2 linked regions of the Elephas maximus indicus genome follow. The protein of the gene in region 2 interacts with the protein of the main gene of each other region in a pairwise test. Links are inferred from orthologs where the notes say so. Each region holds a gene or a part of one and is shown on either strand. Other genes may lie near its edges. The genes, in order: CCDC146 and myomegalin.

Region 1 (12,105 bases), on a different chromosome or scaffold from region 2:
AGCGACCGCTTCTGGAACTGGCGACCCGCGCCACATCCTTGAGCCCTCGCAGTTCCCTGGTGCCAGAGAGGTGGAGCTGATTGCGGCTTACTGAGATGGGGCAAGTGGGACACAGCCCTAACCCCTAACCCCCTGGAGTAACCTCGGAAGAGACTTAGCCGGCACAAGCAGGCTGCACACTGACGCGGCTGACAAGAGAACAAGCAACCATGGAGAAGCAGCGACTGTTTTCAGAGCCTGAAGCCAGCATCCCTGTCAGAAAACCTTGGCGCTGGCTTTGGACTAAGCGCAGAGGAGCTGAGTACGGCTTCCTGAGACAGCGCAAGTGTGGGACCCCGGCCTGACCCTCAGGGGCAACCCTGACCCAGCCAGCACACACAGGCTATGCTTCTCTGGAATCTCAGATAAAACAGTCATCACCAAGCAAGATAAGTAACTTTGTCTATACTGCCCGCACTACTCTCTCCTATCTATCTGATCCCTCCCCTCCCTGCCCCAGGTGGTTTCATTAACATTGGAATTTCCTGGGCCAGGGAGTGAAGTGCTTGCGGGGGGGGGGGGGGGGGGGTGGGGGGGGGTGGGGGGGGGGCGGTTTCCTAACCCATTCTCCTGGCCTGAGAGAAGCAGCAACTAACAACCCAGGGGGAAAAAAAACCTTCCCTAACTTCCCTAAACTGGAATAAAGATACAGAACCAGCTCCAGCCAAGCATATGAGATACACAGTCTTTGGCTTACATCCCTACAGGGAACAAGGTGGCTATTATAATGCAAAGGTAATTCTGATAGAGATCTGACTGTAATTGTTTTAGCAGGTCTGATACCTCTCTACCTATTAAACAGAGCCCTCACTGATCCAGAGCAGGGAACTGAGAGCTGAAGCTCCACCCAAACCACCTAGCCACCTGCTAAAGGGGTCTGAGGATAGTGATGCCTACCAGTCTTTAGAGGTACAAGCATTGGGTGCCTAAGGTACAGCTGCAGAGTCCACCCATCAAAGTGCTCTAGGAATAGAGACACACCTACCTCACTGGCACGTGGGGGAAGGCTGTCAGCACCCTGCCCGCCCTGGAGTGTGACCCCCTGCCGCTACTAGGATCTGGTGCACACAACTATCACCACTACTCCTCTAAGTTAATAGGTGACAGTCTACACCACACACTTGGTGACCCAAAATCAGAACACCTAAGCTGATTCTATTGAAGAATAGTGAATGGACTCTTAGGCTTATATACCCAGTAACAGCTCAAACCAGCTGGTAATAGGACATAAGTGATTCGACCGCTACAACAATCAAGACAGCACAATCTAGTACCCCATCTGGGTATACTGAAACAAAACAAAACAAGAAGATAAGAGTCAGTGGGCAAATATAAATCATTACAATATCTTATAGATGGCTGAGAGACAGCAGTCGATATCGAACCACATAAAGAAGCAGACCATGATTGCTTCTACAAATCCCCAAATTAAAGAATCAAAATCTTTCCTAAATGAAGATACAATCCTGGAATTGCCAAATGTAGAATATAAAAAACTAATATACAGAATGCTTCAAGACATCAGGGATGACCTCAGAAATGAAATAAGGCAATCTACAGAAAAAGCCAAGGAACACACTGATAAAGCAGTTGAAGAACTCAAAAAGATTATTCAAGAACATAGTGGAAAAATTAATAAGTTGCAAGAAAAAATCAGGGAAAAGAAATCAAATACTTGGAAACTGAACGATACCCTCGTCAAAAAAGACTGGGTTATAGAAGACATTAAGGAGGGAATAAAGAAATTCATACAATACAATTAGAATGAAAACACTTCCTATCAAAACCTTTGGGACACAGGAAAAGCAGTGCTCAGAGGTCAATTTATATCAATAAATGCACACATACATAAAGAAGAAAACAGGCAAAGTCACAGAACTGTCTACAACTTGAGGAAATAGAAAGCAAGCAACAAAAGAATCCGTCAGGCACCAGAAGAAAACAAATAATAAAAATTAGAGCAGAATTAAATGAATTAGAGAACAGAAAAACAATTGAAAGACTTAACAAAGCCAAAAGCTGGTTCTTGGAAAAAATCAACAAAATTGATAAACCATTGGCCAGACTGACCAAAGAAATACAGAAAAGGAAACAAATAACCCGAATAAGAAAAGAGATGGGCCATACCACAACAGACACAACTGAAATTAAAAGAATCATATCAGATTATTACAAAAAATTGTACTCTAACAAATTTGAAAACCTAGAAGAAATGGATTAATTCCTAGAAACACACTACCTACCTAAACTAACACAATCAGGAGTAGAACAACTAAATAGACCTATAACAAAAGAAGAGATTGAAAAGGTAATCAAAAAACTCCCAACAAAAAAAAGCCCTGGCCCGGACAGATTCACTGCAGAGTTCTACCAAACTTTCAGAGACGAGATAACACCACTACTACTAAAGCTATTTCAAAGCATAGAAAAGGATGGAATACTACCTAACTCATTCTATATAGCCAGCATATCCCTGATACCAAAACCAGGTAAAGACACCACAAAAAAGAAAGTTACAGACCTATATCCCTCATGAACATAGATGCAAATATCCTCAACAAAATTCTAGCCAATAGAATTCAACAACATATCAAAAAAAAATTCACGACAAACAATAGGGATTTATACCAGGTATGCAAGGTGGGTTCAATATTAGAAAAACAATTAATGTAATCCACCATATAAATAAAACAAAAGACAAAAACCACATGATCTTAATTGATTCAGAAAAGACATTTGACAAAGTCCAACACCCATTCATGATAAAAACTCTCAGCAAAACAGGAATAAAAGGAAAATTCCTCAACATAATAAAGGACATTTATACAAAGCCAACAGCCAACATCATCTTAAATGGACAGAGCTTGAAAGCATTTCCCTTGAGAACAGGAACCAGACAAGGATGCCCTTTATCACGGCTCTTATTCAACACTGTGCTGGAGGTCCTAACCAGAGCAATTAGGCTAGACAAAGAAATAAAGGGCATCCGGATTGGCAAGGAAGAAGTGAAATTATCTCTATTTGCAAATGACTTGATCTTATACACAGAAAACCCTGAGGAATCCTCAAGAAAACTACTGAAACTAATAGAAGAGTTCAGCAGGGTATGAGGATACAAGATAAATACACAAAAATCAGTTGGATTCCTCTACACCAACAAAAAGGACATCAAAGAGGAAATCACCAAATCAATACCATTCACAGTAGCCCCCAAGAAGATAAAATACTTAGGAATAAATCTTACCAAAGATGTAAAAGACCTATCCAAAGAAAACTACAAAGTACTACTGCAAGAAACTAAAAGGGACATACATAAGTGGAAAAACATACCTTGCTCATGGATAGGAAGACTTAACATAGTAAAAATGTCTATTCTACCAAAAGCCATCTATATATACAATGCACTTCTGATCCAAATTCCAACGACATTTTTTAATGTGATGGAGAAACAAATCACCAACTTCATATGGAAGGGAAAGAAGCCCCGGAGAAGTAAAGCATTACTGAAAAAGAAGAACAAAGTGGGAGGCCTCACTCTACCTGATTTTAGAACATATTATACAGCCACAGTAGTCAAAACAGCCTGGTACTGGTACACAACAGGCACATAGACCAATGGAACAGAATTGAGAACCCAGATATAAACCTATCCACATATGAGAAGCTGATATTTGACAAAGGACCAGTGTCAGTTAACTGGGGAAAAGATAGTGTTTTTAACAAATGGTGCTGGCATAACTGGATATCCATCTGCAAAAAAATAAAACAGGACCCATACCTCACACCGTGCACAAAAACTAACTCCAAATGGATGAAAGACCTAAACGTAAAGGCTAAAACAATAAAGATCATGGAAGAAAAAATAGGGACAACGTTAGGAGCCCTATTACAAGGCATAAACAGAATACAAAACATTACTAAAAATGACGAAGAGAAACCAGATAACTGCGAGCTCCTAAAAATCAAACACCCATGCTCATCAAAGGCTTCACCAAAAGAGTAAAAAGACCACCTACAGACTGGGAAAGAATGTTCAACTATGACATCTCCGAACAGCGCCTGATCTCTAAAATCTATATGATTCTGTTAAAACTCAACCACAAAAAGACAAACAACCCAATTAAAAATTGGGCAAAGGATATGAACATTCACTTCACTAAAGAAGATATTCGGGCAGCTAACACATACATGAGGAAACGCTCTTGATCATTAGCCATTAGAGAAATGCAAATTAAAAGTACGATGAGTTTCCAACTCACTCCACCAAGGCTGGCATTAATCCAAAAAACACAAAATAATAAATGTTGGAGAGGCTGTGAAGAGATTGGAACTCGTATACACGGCTGGTGGGAATGTAAAATGGTACAACCAGTTTGGAAATCGATCTGGCATTTCCTTAAAAAGCTAGAAATAGAACTACCATATGACCCAGAAATCCCACTCCTCGGAATATATCCTGGAGAACTAAGAGCCTTTACACGAACAGATATATGCACACCCATGTTTATCGCAGCACTGTTTACAATAGCAAAAAGCTGGAAGCAACCACGGTATCCATCAACAGACAAATGGATAAATTATGGTATATTCACACAATGGAATACTACGAATCGATAAAGAAAAACGATGAATCTGTGAAACATTTCATAACATGGAGAAACCTGGAAGGCATTATGCTGAGTGAAATTAGTCAGTTGCAAAAGGGCAAATATTGTATAAGACCACTATTATAACATCTTGAGAAATAGTTTAAACTGAGAAGAACACATTCTTTTGTGGTTACAAAAGGGGGAAGGGTAGAGGGTGGGAGAGGGTTATTTCCTGATTAGATAGTAGATAAGAACTACTTTAGGTGAAAGGAAGGACAACACTCAATTCAGGGGAGGTCAGCACAACTGGACTGGACCCAAAGCAAAGAAGTTTCCTGAATAAACTGAGTACTTCCAAGGTCCGCAGAGCAAGGGCGGGGGTTTGGGGACTATGGCTTCAGGGGACATCTAAGTCAATTGACAAAATAAATTCTATTAAGAAAACATTCTGCACCCCACTTTGAAGTGTGGCGTCTGGAGTCTTAAATGCTAACAAGCGGCCATCTAAGATGCATCAATTGGTCTCAACCCAAAGGAGAATGAAGAACACCCAGGTCACAAGGTAATCATGAGCCCAAGAGACAGAAAGGGCCACATGAACTAGAGACTACTTTCATCCTGAAACCAGAAGAACTAGATGGTGCCCCGCCACAACCAATGACTGCCCTGACAGGGAGCACAGCAGAGAACCCCTGAGGGAACAGGAGAACAGTGGGATGCAGACCCCAAATTCTCATAAAAAGACCAGGCTTAATGGTCTAAGACTAGAATAATTCCGGCGGTAATGGTCCCCAAACCTTCCGCTGGCCCAGGACAGGAACCATTCCTGAAGACAACTCAGGAGACATGGATTGGACTGGACAATGGGGGTTGGCGAGAGATGCTGATGAGGAGTGAGCTACTTGCATCAGGTGGACACTTGAGACTATGTTGGCATCTCCTGTCTGGAGGGGAGATGGGAGGGTAGAGGGGTTTAGAAACTGGCAAAAAGGTCAGGAAAGGAGAAACTGGAAGGAGGGAGTGGGAACGGGATGACTCATTAGTGGAAGAGTAAGTGGGGGTATGTAGTAAGGTGTATATAAGTTTATATGTGAGAGACTGACTTGATTCGTAAACTTTCACTTATAGCACAATAAATATTAAAAAAAAAAAAAGTGCACGTCAGCGTAATTTAAGGAAAGCTTCGCTACGGGTGCCTTGGGACCCAAACCGTTTTAACTTGCCGAACTTCAGGGGCGCCTCCACCTCCACCGAGGCCTGGGGGTCGATGGTCTCAGACACGATGGCCATCTCCTTTCGCTCCTTGTCGTACCTCACCTGCAGGCCTTCCAGGCCCTGCGCCCCGACCTCCACGCCGCTCACGGCCACCAGCACACGGTCAGCGTCCGGGTACGTGAGGGGGTCGAGGGGTTTCACGGTTAGGTCGCACGGGAGCCGCGCCAGGAGCCGGCCGAACGGGCTCACCAGCAGCGTCCACTCCTTCAGCGTCCGGCGCTCGGGGTCAGGGGGAGTCACCTTCGGCTCCGAGCCCGGCCCGCGCTCACACCCGCCCGAGCCGTACAGCCGAGCCTGGTAAGCCCGACACGTGCCGCGCTCAACGGCCTCGCCGATCCACACTCGGAGCTGGCAGAGCCTAAGGCCGCCGCGCCCCCAGCCTGAGCAGGGGGCGAACATGGCATGCCTCTCTCGCGCCCCCTCAGATCCCCTCAGCCACAGGAAGAGTCACTTGCAGCGGCTGACTTGGCCACTGAGCCTCCTCAAGTCAAAGGAGAGACGTTTGCGAGGGCATGCTGAAGCAAGAGCAAGCCTATCAACTCTGCTGGGAGATTTAAACCTCTGCCGCACAAGCCGCAGAGGCAAGTTGAAATTTCAAAGCTCTAAGTAATCAACCCTGACCTGGACTCCTAGTTCACCCCTTCCCCTTTCGCGAAGGCCGACGGGATAGGTAGTTCTACACGGTTACACATGCAAGGGCTCTGACCAGATCGGAAACTACAAATCGCAGGAGGCAATTCGCAGCGTAGACAGCGAACTGAGAGCACGTTTTGAACTGGGACGGAAGGCGCGCTCTCTTTGCCTCGAGCCCATTGGCCATTGGAGGGGCGAAAGAATCTAGATGGAAATCCATCTGACCAATGGAAAGCGCTGAAGGGGAAAGGTGGGCAAGTCCGTGTGCGTGTGTGTGGTCTCCTTGGATACCTAGGACGCGAGTTCTTCTTTGGAGAGGGTGGAGCTTTGAAGTGAGACCCAGGGGGCCAAAACTAAAGATAAAAATAGGAGCCTAAATAAGGAGCAGGACCAAGGGAAAGGATAAGAAACTGCGCTTTTAAAGGTGAGAACTAGAATCAAACTAGGAGTATCCTCTGTGGGTGGTTAGACTCAAGCTTTCCTAAACTAGTGCAGCGCCTCTGGGGATGGAAACTTCCTAGGCAAGAGGATAAAGAGCCAGATTGGTGTTTTGGGTGGAGGGAAGTTTCCTCTCTGGTAGCAAATTTAGGAATAGCGTTAGAGTCTTGGCACCTTCCTGAGTCTAGGTGCCCTTAGGCCAGTCATTGGACATCTCTGGCCATTAATTGTTCATTCTTAAAATGGGGACAATAATATCTTTTTTGCCTTCCCTCACAGGGTCTTTGTGAGGATCAAATGAGATAATGAATACAAACACGTTGCACAGCCTACAAAACTGCAATGTTTTATTTTAGGGATAGCACAGTCTCTTAGTTACAAAGAAAAACCTGAAAGATCAGGACTGTTTTTGGCAGCGATATTGATCTTTTTAATTACTAATGGTCCTCGGTTTGGGGGCTAAAATAAGATACAAAAAAGAGAGTCAAGGTGGTGCTGTGGGAAGAGCAGATTTTTTTTCCTGAGTCTGCCATTGATCTCTTTGTGTCACCTGGATCTGTTTCTTCAGCTTTAGAGTGAAGGATTGTACTAAATGACTCTGTAAGATCTCTTTTACGTTTTATTATTCTATGGGCAATAAGAAAGACAAAGATTTATCTCCTTTTCTTCCTGGTCTCTCCCTTTCTGTGCTCCAACCTCCTCCTGCAAATTATTCCCTTTAGCAAAGACACCCTGCAAACAATGAGATTTAATAAAATGCAAGTGCTGAAACTGAATGCCTTCAGTAATTTTAGTCTTGGCCAAGTGCAGTGCAGAATTTTTGAGAGCAATAGTGATACCGAGGCAGGCAGATAGTCTGGGCTAACAACTTCATGGGCCCAAGATGCAAGGTTGTTTGGTAGACATTACCTTTTTTTTTAAATTTAGTATTTTTTAAGTTATTTTTTTCTCCTTTATGTCTTGCTAGTCCTTCCTCCCTTCTTATTTTTCCTCCTTTAGTGAAGGCATGATGAGTGCTAGCTTTTAGATTTAGCAAGTGCCCACTGAATACTAATTTTCTCCTTGGCTTTGTGTTTCATCTGGTCATAATTTTTCAGACTGACCTTCTTCAAACTATCTTTTTTATGAAAATCTATTGACATTGAAAACAAAACTGTTAGGCACTGATGTAAACAAGTTGGGAATACACTCAAATTTTGTGTATAAGTACGAGATATTCTTAGATTTAAAATGAATCCTTAATACATAATTCTATGCTAATTTTTCCTTTTCTGAGACAAACCAAATTAATGGAATTGGAAACTGAGCCATAATTGGCTATGTAGCATAATCATTGTTTCTCTCTTCTCAAGTAAACAAAAGAAAACTAAATAAAATTGATTTAAAAATCACCTTTCTGATCATGTTGAGGTTGAAAATGGAGAAAATTATTGATATTAAGATTGATATAAGATATTAAGGTTAACGATACTTAAAGAAACAGCAGTCTAATGAATCATCTACCCAATCTTGTGCATATATCAATAATGATAAATTAAAATACTACTTTCCATCTATATAACTAAACAAATAATTTCTTTTACAAGAATCAGCACAAAGCTGGTTCCTATAAGGTGGAGGTTAAAGATGTCCCAAATATCCAACTTTTCCAAGCTTCTGTACTACTCCATCATCTCTAACATCAGCTACGCCCTTTCCCTTCAGCACTCTCCCTCCTGTCTTTAGGTTCCCTAATTGTCTACAACATCTCAGAGAACTCAGGAACCAGCCATGTAAAGCAAATGGCTCATGAGGTTGTGGAGGCAGGCAAATCCAAAATTCGTGGGCCAGGCATAGGCTTTTCCCTGGTCGCTCAATCTCTGCCCACAGACACTCATCTTTCTTGCTCCATGGGCCGTGAAGCCCACTGTGCCATCTCCTGAGGGTATCTCCTGTGGGTCTCTCCTACCGGTCTCTTCTTCCCTGGTGGTGGTGGGCTCTTCTCTTTCCTGCCTCTGGGGTGGCTCGTTTCAATCCCAGCAGGATGGTGAAACTGACCAATCCATTTAGTGGGTCACAATCACCATATCACACGATCCCACCCAATCACCTAGTGGGAGTTACAAGACCATGGCTAGAAAGGCACACAAAAAGCAATCCATTACACTGCCATAACATTATAGTTTCAAAGCATGTTCACATGCGTTATTTCACTGTATCCTCACAAAACACTGGGTTTACTAGGACAGATTTAAACATCCTCACATTAGAGATGAGGAAACGGATTTAAAAAACACTTAAGGTTAAACAACTATACTGTCTGACTCTTTTTTCTGACGCAAAAAAAGATCCTTCTATCTTCTTGACACCTTTGAAGGAAATAAATTATTCACTATATGAATGGAGAGTCATATTTAAATTTTCTCAAATACAAAAATATTTGTATTTTTACCTCTTCACTTAAAAAAAAAAAAAAAAAGCCATTCCTGAGGTTATGAACATACTACTGGTTGAAGTATAAGTTAGTACAAACTTTCCCAAGGACAATTTAGCAATAAGCATGTTGTCGTTGTTAGGTGCCCTTGAGTTGGTTACAACTCATAGCAACACTAAGTACAACAGAGTGAAACATTCCTGATCTCGCGCCATCTCACAATCTTAGTTATGCTTGAACCCATCGTTGCAACCACTTTGTCAGTCCATCTCATTGAGGGTCTTCCTCTTTTCCCTGACCCTCTACTTTATCAAGCAGGATGTTCTTCTCCAGGGGCTGGTCCCTCCTGATAATGTGTCCAAAGTATGTGAGACTTTGTCCTTGCTTCCAAGGAGCACTGTGGCTGTCCTTCTTCCAAGACAGACTTGTTTGTTCTTCTGGCAGTCCATGGTATGTTCACTATTCTGTGCCAATACCATAATTCAAAGGCATCAATTCTTCCTTATTCATTGTTCAGCTGTCCCATGCATATGCAGTGATTGAAAATATCATGGCTTGGGCCAGGTGCACCTTAGTCCTCAAAGTGATACCTTTGCTTTTTAACACTTGAAAGAGGTCTTTTGCAGCAGATTTGCCCAATAAAATACGTCATGTGATTTTCTGACTGCTGCTTCCATGGGCATTGATTAATATCCAGGTAAAATGAAAGCCTTGACAATGTCAGTCTTTTCTCCATTTATCATGACATTGCTTATTGGTCCAGTTGTAAAGATTTTTGTTTTCTTTTTGTTGAGATGTAATCCATACTGAAGGCTGTACTCTTTGATCTTTATCAGTAAGTGCTTCAAGTCCTCTTCACTTTCAGCAAGCAAGGTTCTGTCATCTGCATATCACAGGTTGTTAATGAGTCTTCCGCCAATCCTGATCCCACATTCTTCTTCATACAGTCCAGCTTCTCGAATTGTTTGCTCAGCATACAGATTGAATAAGTATGGTGAAAGGATGCAACCCCAACACATACCTTTTTTGATTTTAAACCACTTAGTATCCTCATGTTCTGTTTGAACGACTGCCTCTTGTTCTAAGTACAGGTTCCGCATAAGAACAATTAAATGTTCTGGAATTCCGATTTCTCGCTGTGTTATCCATAGTTTGTTCTGATCCACACAGCCAAATGCCTGTGCGTAATCAATAAAACATTAAGTAAATATCTTTCTGGTATTCTCCGCTATCAGCCAAGAGCCATCTGACATCAGCAGTGATTTCCCTCATTCCACATCCTCTTCTGAAACTAACTTGAATTTCTAGTAGTTCCTTGTCAATGTCCTACAACTGCTTTGAATGATCTTCAGCACAATTTTACTTGGGAGTGATATTAATGGTATTTTTGATAATTTCTACATTCTGTTGGATTACCTTTCTTTGGAATGGGCATAAATATGAATCTCTTCCAGTCGGTTGGCCAGGTAGTTGTCTTCCAAATTTCTTGACATAGACAAGTGAGCACCTCCAGCGTTGCATCCATTTGTTAAAACATCTCAATTGGCATTCAGTCAATTCCTGGAGCCTTGTTTTTTGCCAGTGTCTTCTGCGTGGCTTGGACTTCTTCCTTCAGTATCATTGGTTCTTGATCAAATGCTACTTGCTGAAGTGGATCAACATCAACCAATTCTTTTTGGTACAGTAATTCTGTATTCCTTCCATCTGCTTTTGATGCTTCCTGTGTCATTCAGTATTTTGCTGATAGAATCCTTCAAAATTGCAACTCCAGGCTTGAATTTTTCCTTCAGTTTTTTCAGCTTGAGAAATGCCAAGCATGTTCTTCCCTTTTGGTTTTCTAACTCCAGATCTTTTTGCACATTTCATTCTAATGTTTTACTTTGTCTTCTCAAGCTGCCTTTTGAAATCTTCTGTTCAGCTCTTTTACTTCATCATTTCTTGCATTCACTTTAGCTACTCGACGTTCAAAAGCAGTTTCAGAGTCCCTTCTCATCCATTTTGGTCTTTTCTTTCTTTCCTGTCTTTTTAATGACCTTTTGCTTTCTTTGTGTATGATGTCCTTGGTGCTTTCTCACAACTCATCTGGTCTTCAGTCATTAGTGTTCAGTGCATCTAATCTATTCTTGAGATGGTCTCCAAATTCAGGTGGGATATACTCAAGGCTATATTTTGGCTCTCATGGACTTGTTTTAATTTTCTTCAGCTTCAGGTTGAACTTGCATATGAACAATTGATGGTCTGTTCTGCAGTTAGGCCCTGGCCTTGTTACTGATGACATTGAGCTTTTCCATTGTCTCTTTCCACAAAGGTAGTCAGTTTGATTCCTGTGTATTCCGTCTAGCGAGGTCCACGTGTACAGTTGCCATTTATATTTTGAAAAGAGGTATTTGCAATGAAGAAGTCCTTGGTCTTGCAAAATTCTTTCATGGGATCTCTGGTATCCTTTCTGTCACCAAGGCCGTATTCCCCAACTACCAATCCTTCTTCATCATTTCCAACTTTCACATTCCAATCACCAGCAATTATCAATGCATATTGATTGCATGTTTGATCAATTTCAGACTGTTAGATTTGGTAAAAAATCTTCAATTTCCTCACCTTTGGCAATAGTGGTTGGTTAAATAATAGTCATATTAACTGGTCTTCCTTGTAGGCATATGGATATTATTCTATCACTGACAGCATTGTATTTCAGGATAGATCTTGAAATTTTTTTTT
Region 2 (12,187 bases):
AAACACCTATATTAGAGGAAAAAGAAAAGCCTTAAATCAATAATCTAAGTTTCCATTAATAGATCCTTGACCAAGCCCTATGGGGTTACTATGAGTTGGAATCAACTTGATGGCAGTGGGTTATCGCTCTTTTGGTTCTTCTTTGTTCCATGGGTCATTTAAGAGTGTGTGTTGAGTTTCCAGATATTCGAGGATTTTATTCTTTCTGTTATTGATTTCGGTATTGAAATCAGAATACTGATTTCTGTTCTTTCTGTTTTAATTCCATTGTGGTCAGAGAACACACTTTCTATGGTTTGAATCCTTTTAAATTTATGGAGACTTATTGACAACTAAGCACATGGAAGCTCAACATCATTAGTCATTTGGAAAAAGCAAATCAAAACCATAATATCATTTCACGCCCACTACAATGGCTTTGGGGCCCTGGTGGCACAGTAGTTAAGTATTCCGCTGCTAACCAAAAGTTCAGCAGTTCAAATCCAGAGCCGCTCCTTGGAAGCCCTATGGGGCAGTTCTACTCTGTCCTATAGGGTCACTATGAGTCAGAATCAACTCAACAGCAATTGATTTTTTTTTTTCTATTTTTGAATGGCGATAATAAAAAAAGGTAAGAAAGTAAAAATGCTGACAAGGGTATGGACAAATGGGCATTCTCATACATTGCAAGTGGGAATGTAAAAGGTACAATCCCTTTGGAAAAAAGTTTGGCAGTTTCTTAAAAAGTTACACATATACCTTCCGTTCTACCTCTAGAAATTTACCCAAGAGAAAGAAACTGTATGTACCCACAAAGACTTGTACATAAATGTTAACAGCAGCTTTATTTGTAATGCCCAAAAACTGGAATCAACTCAACAACTAATTGTGGTATATCCATACACTGCAATACTGCTCAGCACCAAAAGAAAATGAACTATCGATACACACAACAATAAGGACAACTTTCAAAATAATTACCCTGAAGGAAGCCACATAAAAAAGGAATACATACGGTATGATTCTATTTACATAAAAGTCTAGGAAGTGCAAACTAATGTATTGTGACAGAAAGTAGATCAGTGGTTACCTGTATATTAGCACGGCAGGAAGAGATAGGAGGGAGAGATTGTAAAGAGGCAGATGAAAAGTTTTGGGGATGATATATATGTTCATCATCTTGATCATAGTGGTGATTTCATAGGTATATACATATGTCAAACTTATCAAATTGTACACTTTAAATTTATTCAGTTTATTATATGCCAATTATCCCTCAAAAGCTATAAAAAATATAATAATAACAAAAAAGAGTGAGAAAGAGAAAGAAATGGCTAGAGGAATGTAATAGTTGAAGTTTGATGTTAGGAACTTACTGAACTGTCTCTAAAATCACTTTCCCCTGAGAGCTGTCTGCTGGTTCCTGGCTATCCAAGGAGAATGTACACTCTGTTGTTATTGTTAGGTGTCATCCAGTCAGTTCCAACTCATAGCAACCGTATGTATAACAGAAGGAAACACTGCCCGGACCTGTGCCATCCTCACAATCATTGCTATGTTTGAGCCCATTGTTGCAGCCACTGTGTCAATCCATCTCATTGAGGGTATTCCTCTTTTTCACTGACCTTCTACTTTACCAAGCATGATGTCATTCTCCAGGGACTGGTCCCTCCTGATAACATGTCCACAGCACATGAGATGAAGTCTTGCCATTCTCACTTCTAAGGAGCACTCTGGCTGTACTTCTTCCAAGACAGATTTGTGTGTTCTCTGGCAGTCCAAGGTATATTCAGTATTCTTTGCCAACACCATAATTCAAACACATCGTTTCTTTTTTCATCTTCCTTATTCATTGTCCAGCTTCCACATGCATATGAGGTGACTGAAAATACTATGGCTTGGGTCAGGTGTACCTTAGTCCTCAAAGTGCTATCTTTGATTTTTAACACTTTAAAGGGATCTTTTGCAGCAGATTTGCCCAGTGCAATACATTGTTTGATTTCTTGACTGCTGCTTCCATGGGCATTAACTGTGGATCCAAGTAAAATGAAATTCTTGACAACTTCAATCTCTTCTCTGCTTATTATGATGTTGCTTATTGATCCAGTTGTAAGGATTGTTTCTTTACATTGTGGTATAATCCACACTGAAGGCTGTGGTCTTTGATCTTCATCAGTAAGTGCTTCAAGTCCTCTGCCCTTTCAGCAAGCAAGGTTGTATCATCTGTATATCACAGGTTGTTAATAAGTCTTCCTCCAATCCTGATGCCAAGTTCTTCTTCATACAGTCCAGCTTCTCAGATTATTTGCTCAGCATCTGTCTGCTGAATAGATATGGTGAAAGGATACAGCCCTGAGGCACACCTTTCCTGGTTTTAAACCTCACAGTATCCTCTTGTTCTGTTCAAATGACTGTCTCTTGGTCTATGTATAGGTTCCTCATGAGCACAATTAAGTGTTCTGGAATCTACAATGCTTCAAATAAGTACATTGAGACAGATTGTCACCATCTGACAGCTCACTTAATTCCTCATTTTTAATAATTGTATACTTGAAAGAGGGTCAGCATTGGAAAAGGTCTATCACAGAACAGGCCTCATCCAATAAGGCATTTTCCCAGGGCCATACACCTGCTAGTGCTCCTCTGCTAGGATTTGCTTCCCACCCAACCCCGGCTTCATATCTTGTCAGGCCAGCCAAGATTCATGTCCTATGTGAAGCCCTCCCTGCTCCTCGGCCTTTCAGCACCACGTCCAGATGCCATTAACCAACTGGTTCATATTGTCAGTGTGTACGGTCCCTGGGCGGTGCAAACAGTTTGTGCTCAACTAATAACTGAAAGGTTGGTGGTTTGAATCCATCCAGCCGTACCACTGAAGAAAGGCCTGGTCATCTATTTTTTTAAGATTACAGCCATTGAAAACCCCATGGAGTGAATTTCTAAACTGCAACACACAGGCCACATCCAGGTCTGCATAAGCCACCTGTGAACTCCATCCTTCCCCTTATCCCCAACTTCCCCCCATCCCCACCTTCACTCCCCTCCCTCCTTTTCCCCAGTGACCCGCTCCCTGCACCGCAGCCTGCCTTTGGCACAGGGGCTAAGGACAAGGGATTCCTTCAACTTCTTTGTGTCTGTGAATAGAGTTTCATCATTCACAAATAAAAGTGTCCTGAAAACAGAATACAGAACCAGAGACTATTTAGTTCTGTGATACTCTTTTAACCCAAATCCCAATTTTATGCATAGGAAACTGAGGCCTAGAGAAATTAAATAACTTTTCTAAAATCCCAGCGAGTTAATTGCAGCTTGGAGACAGAAACCACTGTTGCCTTGTAGTTTATATGAGTACTGTACTGACTTCCCATGAAAGAGAAAGCTAAAAATGCTACGCCAGGGAAATGCTTATTGAGAAAAAGGCACACTCTCTTCTCTAGAAAATTGTATGTCAGACAGATTTTCATCCTGCTGCTACATGAAGAAAATTTGTCCCTAATCTGTTCCCTCTTCTAAGAGCAGAGGAAGTGACCCGGTTTAGAATGGAGCTTGTCCTGCAGGACCTGGGATCCAGCCAACAGGCAGGGCTCCAGCCCTGCAGGCTAAAGGAGGTGGTCAAGGAAGAAAAAGCCATCACCAACCCCCACCCAGCTGTCTGTATCTAAGATGAATATCCAAAACAGAAGGCGGTGCAAGAGAAGGCACTGAGGACTCTTTCAGTTGTGTACCCATGACATTTCCTGATCCTTTATCTTCTTTTCCCGCCCCTAAGGCTCTTTTTAAGGCTTCCATCCTGGAATGTCCTCCTGAATCATGTTCATCTCTCCTCTCCTTTGGCTCGACCCAACAGGCACAGCCTTCAACCTCACCTCCAGCTACAAAGCCTTGTCTACATATCAAGGGAAGCCCTTGGTATAGAGACCAGGCTTCCTGAGCTTTAGGCCCAACAGTCCAGCCCCACGCTTTATTTCTAGGCAACACCGCATCACCTCTCCCCCTCTGGTGCCCATCACAGGCCCCATCACCTCTCCTGCCCTCCAACCTTCGCCAGGCAGCTGTCACTCTGCAACAACCCTTTCCAGGAACCCGGGTCCACGGCCCGCAGCCTCAGCCTACCCACAGCATGGCGTACCAACAGCCCGGTGCGATTCGCATCCTCCTGGTCTCCAAGCGCCAGAAGCTGGCGGAGCCCTCACCTCATCCAGGGTGCGGCCGCCGCGGCTGCTTCTTCCTCCTCGGCCGCCAACGCCCAGCTCCAGGACAGCTCGGAGCGCCGCCGTTCTGGGCCAGGGAAATGCCGCCGGGACGGGGGAGCTCGCCCGGCGTCCCCGGCCCAGTAAGGCGCGTGTTGCGCCCGGCGGGATACGCTGCAGCAGCTACCGTTGCAGTCACATCGGCGGCGGCAGCTGGACCCGCTGTCGGCCCTCTTCATGAATTTTTCTCTCCTGGCCTCTCCAATCCTGTTTTCCGTTCCTGCTTCGTTTTCTTATGGCTTTCCTGGGCTGCCAGGGCGCATCCCTCTGGCCGGGGATGAGCAGCCCCTCCAGTTGCCACTGTTGAGGCGGAGACCTGGCCGGATCCTGCCCTTTCACCGCTGCTTCTGCCACCTGCTCCGCCCAGATTGCTTTGGTCCGGCTCCCGCAAACACCCGCCGCTGCCCCTTCACCCTCTGTTACCTCCCCATTCTCTCTCCACCCACCACCTCAACCGGGAGATCCCTTCATTCCCAGACCCCACTCTTTTTTTTTCTATATGCTCCAATGCCACCTTCCTCAATTTCCAACCTCAGATGAGTTCCTTCTTTTCTCACCCCCTCTCTACATATTTTCCTGGCTTTTGTCTTCCTCCTTGCCCAAATCTGTTATCCTCTTATCTTTTATCCGCTTTTTTCTCTCTGTTAATCTCTCCTCAAATTCATCACTTCTCCAGGTTGTTGGCTAGCCTCTTTCCCCTTCTTTCTTCCCTTTCTCCCTCTTTTTAAGTCTCCATTTCCTTTCATTTTCCCTTTAGTAATTGTCAATAACTCTCTGCTAAACAACCCCAGTTTTCCTTTCAGCTGAGACTTTGTGATGCCATTTTTCATGAAGAAATCATAGTAAAGAATATGTCTTGGTATCCACCATCAAGTCAACGGACTGTTATCATCTGGGAAAAAAAGAAAGGGGTCATAGGTCAAATAAATCCTCTGCTAAACCCTTTTCTCCTATTCCATATGTCCTCTAGGAACAGAGACCAGCGAGAGTACAGCAAAACAGAATGACTCTACTACATTATTCTGTGTAGCACAGGGCCTACATAGAATCCACAGGGCAGCTGGATACCACGCATCCCAAGGTTCACAGGCAATAGCCATTACTGTTGAATGACTCAGTGACAGCCAAGCTGAACCCATCCTTCCACTCTAACCTGTCACTCCGTCCTCTGTTTTTTAACCCCAGCACTCCCATCCATCCAGCTGCCCAAACCTCAAACCTGGTAGTGATCAGAGACTTTTATCTTTTTCACTCATCCACCACATCCAGTTGTTATTTCTATTTCTTTACTATATCTGTATCTTTAAGTGTTCGCTCCCATCGTGATTCCAACTGCCTCTCTTAAGGCCCACCTCCAAACCCTTCTTCCCACTGCTTCCAGAGGCCTCTTCATGAAACACTCACCTACTTAAAACCATTCAATGGCTCCTTGGAGATTTTGTGATAAAGTTCTACCACTTAGTTTAGTATTCAAGGATTGTCTTGAATGGCTTCTGCCATCTTTTCTGGCCTCCTCTTCCACTGATCTCTTTCTTCCATCCTGTACCTCCACTACCTTCATTCTAACCACAGTAAACTACATCTAATTCTCTGGGTCTAAATCAGGCTCTTCCATACCTCCTTGCCTTACATTTCCTGTTTACTCTGCTTGGAATACCTGTCTCCACCTTCTTTATCTAGTTAACTCCTAAAACCCAAAAAAAGAAAAAGAAAACAACCCATTGGTGTTAAAAAAAAAAAAAAATCATTGCCATTGAGTGGATTCTGACTCATAGTAACCCTAAAGGACAGAGTAAAACTGCTCCATAGGGTTTCCAAGGAGCACCCGGTGGATTCGAACTGCTGACCTTTTTTTTTTTGGTTAGCAGCTGTAGCTCTTAACCACTATGCCACCAGGGCTTCTAACTAGACAATGCAGGTATCAATCCCGCCAACTCTTGCATGCTAAGCGAGCACTCTACTATCTGAGCTAATACGCAGATCTGTTTAGTCAATTAAATTTCATGGTGATCCCATGTGTTTTACAGAGTAGAACAGCTACATAGGGTTTTCTTGGCTGTAATCCTTATTGAAGCAAATCACCTGGCCTTTCTTCCACAGATGATGGGTGGGTTCAAATGACCAGTCTTCAGGTTAATAGTCAAGCACAAACCTTCTGTGCCACCCAGAGACCTATTTAACTCCTACTTACCCTTTAAAAAGCAATTTATGTGTTACCTTCTTAGGAAAGCCTTTCCTGATCCCTTAACCTTATGTAGGTGCTCCATCTCTATGCCTCTATAGCAGCACCCAAAGCACATCTCTGCCATTTAACACACCATTGTTGTAGATTCACTTATTTATCTTTTCCACTAGACTATTAACTTCTTAAAGACAAAGATTAGGTCTTTTTTCACTCAGTATAACCAACATCTTACAAAGCACTTGGCACACAATAAGTGTTGATAAATGTTTAAAAAGTAAATAAACATTAAAAAAATTTACCTGATAGCACGCCTGGAATAAAATAAAGGCTCAATAAATTCTGTGAGGTTATGGCTTTATTGGTGGCCTTAATGAATTGATGATGAAGGGTGTTTTGTTTAGTGTGATTAGTAACATTTATTGAACACTTGCTTCATGGCAGGCATGATTAAGCACTGATACTTATTAATAAATGAACTAAGTACTGAACTTGTACTTTCACAGTTGGATTTTTGGCCATTTTTCCTTCAAGCTTAGACTTACACTAAATATGGGATACAAGCTTCAAAAGGGCCGCACAGCACCCTAATGAAGTAAATGGAGACTGTTAGCTTTTTCTCAGTAAGTTAACGCATCAATCTTTCAATTTCTTGGCATTAAAAAAGTCTCTGAACTAGAAGAAAACCACTAATCCTAAATAAAGTCCTGGCTACCACCTTCAATCTCTCTTAAAGAAGGATCCATAGGCTATTCGTGTCAGAATCACCTAGGATGTTTGTTTAAAATGGAGATTCCTGCATCCCACCACAGAAGTACTGAATCAGAATCTCTGAGAGTGTGATAATCCTCATACTCAAGAAAAAGTATCTAAAGTTTTAAGATAAGTCAAAAGGATCATTAAGCGTCCATTCAAGATCATACTAGAGTGCTAATAATCCTGTTCATCTGCCTATTTGGGGCCATAGTTTCACCTGACTTACTATTTGCTATTGAATAGAATCCAGACTCATTGAATTTAGATATTTGTAGAAGATTAGTAAATTGCAAATCATTTTTATTCAGGAAAGATGCAAGTCATTTCTGTCTGCATAAAAAAAAAAAAAGCATAACATCAAAGGTTATAGCTTTACTGCCCAGTAAGACATTGACCCACCAGTTGTCTGTCAGTTTGTCATTCAGTGGTCACTTCCATGTTGCTGTGATGTTGGAAGTTATGCCACTGGTATTGAAAACACCAGCAGGGTCACTCATGGTGGACAGGTTTCTGCAGAGCTTCCAGACTAAGAAACACTAGGAAGAAGGACTTGACAGTCTACTTCTTAAAAACTTGGCCAGTGAAAACTTTATGAACATCAGTGGACCACTGTCTAACAGTACTGGAAGATGAGTCCCACAGTTTGTATAGTGCCAAAAGATGAGCCCCTCAGTTTGGAAAGCACTCAAAATATGACTGGGGAAGAGCTGCCTCCTCAAAGTAGAGTCAACCTTTCAGGACCTTTATTTGCTGATGTGCTATGAGAAGAAACAGCTGCAAACATCCATTACTAATCAGAATGTGGAATGTATGAATCCAGAAAAGTTGTAAGTTGTCAAAAATGTAATGAAACACTTGAAGATAGATATACGAGGCATTAGAGAGCTGAAATGGACTGGAATCAGCCATTTTGAATCAGACAACCATATGGTCTACTATGTCAGGAATGACAAATTAAAGAGGAACAGTATTGCATTCGTTGTCAAAAAGAACATTTCAAGATCCATCCTGAAGTACAATGCTGTCAGTGATAGGATAGTATCCAATGCCTACAAAGAAGACCAGTTAATATGACTATTATTCAAATTAGTGCACCAACCACCAACGTCAAAGATAAAGAAATTGAAGACTTTTACCAACTTCTGCAGTCTGAAATTGATCAAACATGCGATTGAGATGCATTGATAATTACTGCTGATAGGAAAGCAAAAGTTGGAAAGAAGGACAAGGAGTTAAAAAATATGGCCATGATGATAGAAACAACATGGGAGATCTCATGATAGAATTTTACAAGACCAATGACCTGTTCATTGGAAATACCTTTTCTCAACAATATAAATGGCAGCTATACACGTGGACTTCACCAGATAGAATACACAGGAATCAAATCAACTATATCTGTGGAAAGAGATGATTGAGAAGCTCAGTATCATCAGTCAGAACAAGACCAGGGGTTGACTGCAGAACAGGCCATCAATTGCTCATATGCAAGTTCAAGCTGAAGCCGAAGAAAACTAAAACAGGTCTAGAAGAGTCAAAATATAACCTTAAATGTATCCCACCTGAATTTAGAGACCATCTCAAGAATAGATTTGACACATTAAACACGAACAACTGAAGATCAGATGAGTTGTGGAATGACATCAAGGACATCATACATGAAGAAAGCAAGAGGTCATTAAAAAGATAGGAAACAAAGAAAAGGCTAAAATGGATGTCAGAAGAGACTCTGAAAGTTGCTCTTGGTTGTCAGTAGCTAAAGATAATGGAAGAAATGATGACGCAAAAGCGCTGAACAGAAGATTTCAAAAGCAGCTGAAGAAGACAAAGCATAGTATTATAATGAAATGTGCAAAGAACTGAAGTTAGAAAACCAAAAGGAAAGAACACTCTCAGCATTTTTCAAGCTGAAAGAATTCAAGCCTCAAGTTGCAATATTGAAGGATTCCATGGGCAAAAACATTGAATGATGCAGAAAGCATCAAAAGAAGAGGGAAGGAATGCAGTCACTATATCAAAAGAATTGGCCGACATCCAATCATTTCAAGAGATAGCATATGATCAAGAACCAGTGGTACTGAAGGAAGAAGCTCAAGCTGCACTGAAGGCACCGGTGAAAAACAAGGCTCCAGGAACTGACAGAATACCTATCAAGATGTTTTAACAAACAGATGCAATACTGGAAGTGTTTTCTCATCTATGCCAAGAAATTTGGGAGACACTTACCTGGCCAACCAACAGAAAGAGATCCATATTTGTGCCCACTCCAAAGAAAGATGATTCAACAGAATGTAGATATTATCAAACAATATCATTAATATCACACGCAAGTAAAATTTTACTGAAGATAATTCACAAATGGTTGTAGCAGTACATCAAAAAGGAATTGCCAGAAATTCAAGATGGATTCAGAAAAGGGCGTGGAATGAGGGGTATCATTGCTGATGTCAGATGGATCTTGGCTGAAAGCAGAGAATACCAGAAAGATGTTTAACTGTGTTTTACTGACTGTGCAAAGTCATTCAGCTGTGTGGATCATAACAAATTATGGATAACACTGCGAAGGATGGGAATTCCAAAACACTTAACTGTGCTCATGTGGAACCTGTACATGGGCCAAGAGGTGGTCATTGGAATAGATAAGGGGGTACTGCAGGTTTTAAAATCAGGAAACGTGTGTGTTAGGGTTGTATCCTTTCACATACTTATTTAATCTGTATGCTGAGCTGGACTATATGAAGAAGAACGCAGCATCAGGATTGGAGGAAAACTTATTTTTAATAACTTGTAATACACAGATGACACAACTTTGCTTGCTGAAAGTGAAGAGGACTTCAAGCACTTACTGATGAAGATCAAAGACTACAGCCTTCAGTATGAACTACACCTCAACAGAAAGAAAACAAAAATCCTCACAACTGGACCAATAAGCAGCAACGTCATGATAAACCGAGAAAAGATTGAAATTGTCAAGGATTTTCAAGTATTTTCAATTGCCTCATATGAATGTGAAAGGTGGACAATGAGTAAGGAAGGCTGAAGAAGAGTCGATGCATTTGAATTATGGTGCTGGTGAAGAATACTGAATATACCATGGACTGCCAGAAGAATGAACGTATCTGTATTGGAAGAAGCACAGCCAGAATGCTCCTTAGAAGCTAGGTGGTAAGACTTACATCTCACGTACTTTGGACATTAGGAGGAAAGACTCCATGGAGGAGGACATCATGCTTGGTAAAGTGGTGGTTCAGTAAAAAAGAGGAAGACCCTCAACAAGATGAATTAACACAGTGGCTGCAACAATGGGCTCAAACGTAGCAATGATTGTGAGGATGACACAGGACCAGGCAGTGTTTTGTTCCGTTGTACATAGGGTTGTTATGAGTTGGAACTGACTTGACAGCACCTATCGACAATTGACCATTTTGTTATAACTTCAAGATCTTATTCCAGCATTCTTTTCTCCACTTGACTCAGCTTTACTATCCTGCTGGTTCCTTCACCAATAACTCTTCAGTAACTTAAATTAATCTTTGAAATGTGCTCACTTTATATTTGTACGAGAGCCATGTTTTTAGCTTTTTGAAAATTATTCTTTGCATTTTGTTTGCTGAAGTTTGAGAACCACTGGTAAAGAGTGGAAGTACGTTTTACATTAAAAAAATACACAGTGCCAATAAATCTTAAAGTTCATCTAATTGAACCTTCTTAATCTTATAGAAGAAAAATATGTTAAAGATATTTAAAATGACAATTCAGAATTCCAAAAATAAATCCAATTTCACCTATCCCATTGAAAGGCAGCAATGATTCAACCCTGAAATATTGTCCTACAATTGTTCTCTTTCCCTCCAAAGCAAAGAAGAGTAAAGAATACTTAAAAGTCAAGGAAACATTTAGTCCAAAGGACTAATGGACTGCATGAACTATAGCCTCCACTACTGTGAGTCCAAAAGAAGTAGATGGGGCCCGGCTACCACTACAAACTGCTCCGTCTGGAACCACAATAGTAGGTTATGGACAGAGTGGGAAAGAGATGTAGAACAAAATTCAAACTCATAAATAAGATCAGACTTACTGGTCTGATAGAAAATGGTTGAACTTCCAAGCCTATGGTCCTTAGACACCCTTCAAACCTGGAACTATAATCACACCCAGAGATCACATTATAGAAAAAAAAAAAAAATAGCCTATAAAAAAGAACAATACCACCAGTGAGGAATGTGTACCTCAGAATAATCAACTATATGAGACCTAAAGGGCAGCATTTGCCCAAAAGCAAAGTTCAGAAGGAAAGTAGGGGACGGAAAGCTAGGCGAAAGGACATGGGAACCCCGGGAGGAAGGGGAGAGAGTGCTGACATATTCAGGGCTTTGCAGTCAATGTCATGAAACAAGCTGTGCATAAATTGTTGAGTGGGAAACTGATTGGCTCTGTAAAACTTCACCTAAACAATGAAATGTTCAAGAAAGAAAAAAAGAAATATTGTACTATTACATTCAAAGCACAATGCTAGCCACTACAGAGAAGTATAAAGAAGTGAAACAAACAATTGCTTTTGACATGTTTTCCATGTAGTTGTAGAGATAAGACATGAACTTGCGTAAACATTGCTAAGAAAACCAGTAGTAAATAACTGTCAAATGTTGTCCAGGTTATAAGTACTATTTCCTCCTCTCGCCAATCAAGTTAAATTTATTAGAATAAAAATCCCTCAGAAATTGAACTAAATTATTAACAGTTCATCAAAGATACTATCTCCTCTATATATAATTTACCTAGGGTGCTCCATTTCCTCAAGATATCTTCTTTATTCAATTCGATTAATGAAATGTTTAACACCTACTATGAGGGAGCACAAGGAGGCCTCATGGTGTAGTGGTTAAGAGCTCAGCTGCTAAGCAAATGCTGACAATTTCAATCCACCAGCCGCTCTTTGGAAACCTTATTGTGGCATTTCTACTCTGTCCTATAGGGCCATTATGAGTTGGAACTCCATGGCAAAGGGTTTGGTTTTGGT

Evidence for each region.
Region 1: the proteins of myomegalin (region 2) and CCDC146 interact in binary tests that used the Homo sapiens proteins (3 or more experiments, as listed by UniProt). The two-hybrid records come from large-scale screens. The link is inferred for Elephas maximus indicus from reciprocal best matches to the Homo sapiens genes PDE4DIP and CCDC146.

Annotation. Positions count from the first base shown.
Region 1 is NC_064826.1:46,802,747-46,814,851, forward strand, and holds the start of CCDC146 (coiled-coil domain-containing protein 146), read left to right. Parts: upstream 1-6,841; 5' UTR 6,842-6,960; intron 6,961-12,105. Other genes in the region: protein FAM185A, read right to left, coding at 5,852-6,302. UniProt on the Homo sapiens protein: Essential for sperm flagellum biogenesis and male fertility.
Region 2 is NC_064821.1:159,485,267-159,497,453, reverse strand, and holds the start of myomegalin, read right to left. Parts: upstream 4,558-12,187; 5' UTR 4,409-4,557; coding exon 4,173-4,408; intron 1-4,172. UniProt on the Homo sapiens protein: Functions as an anchor sequestering components of the cAMP-dependent pathway to Golgi and/or centrosomes.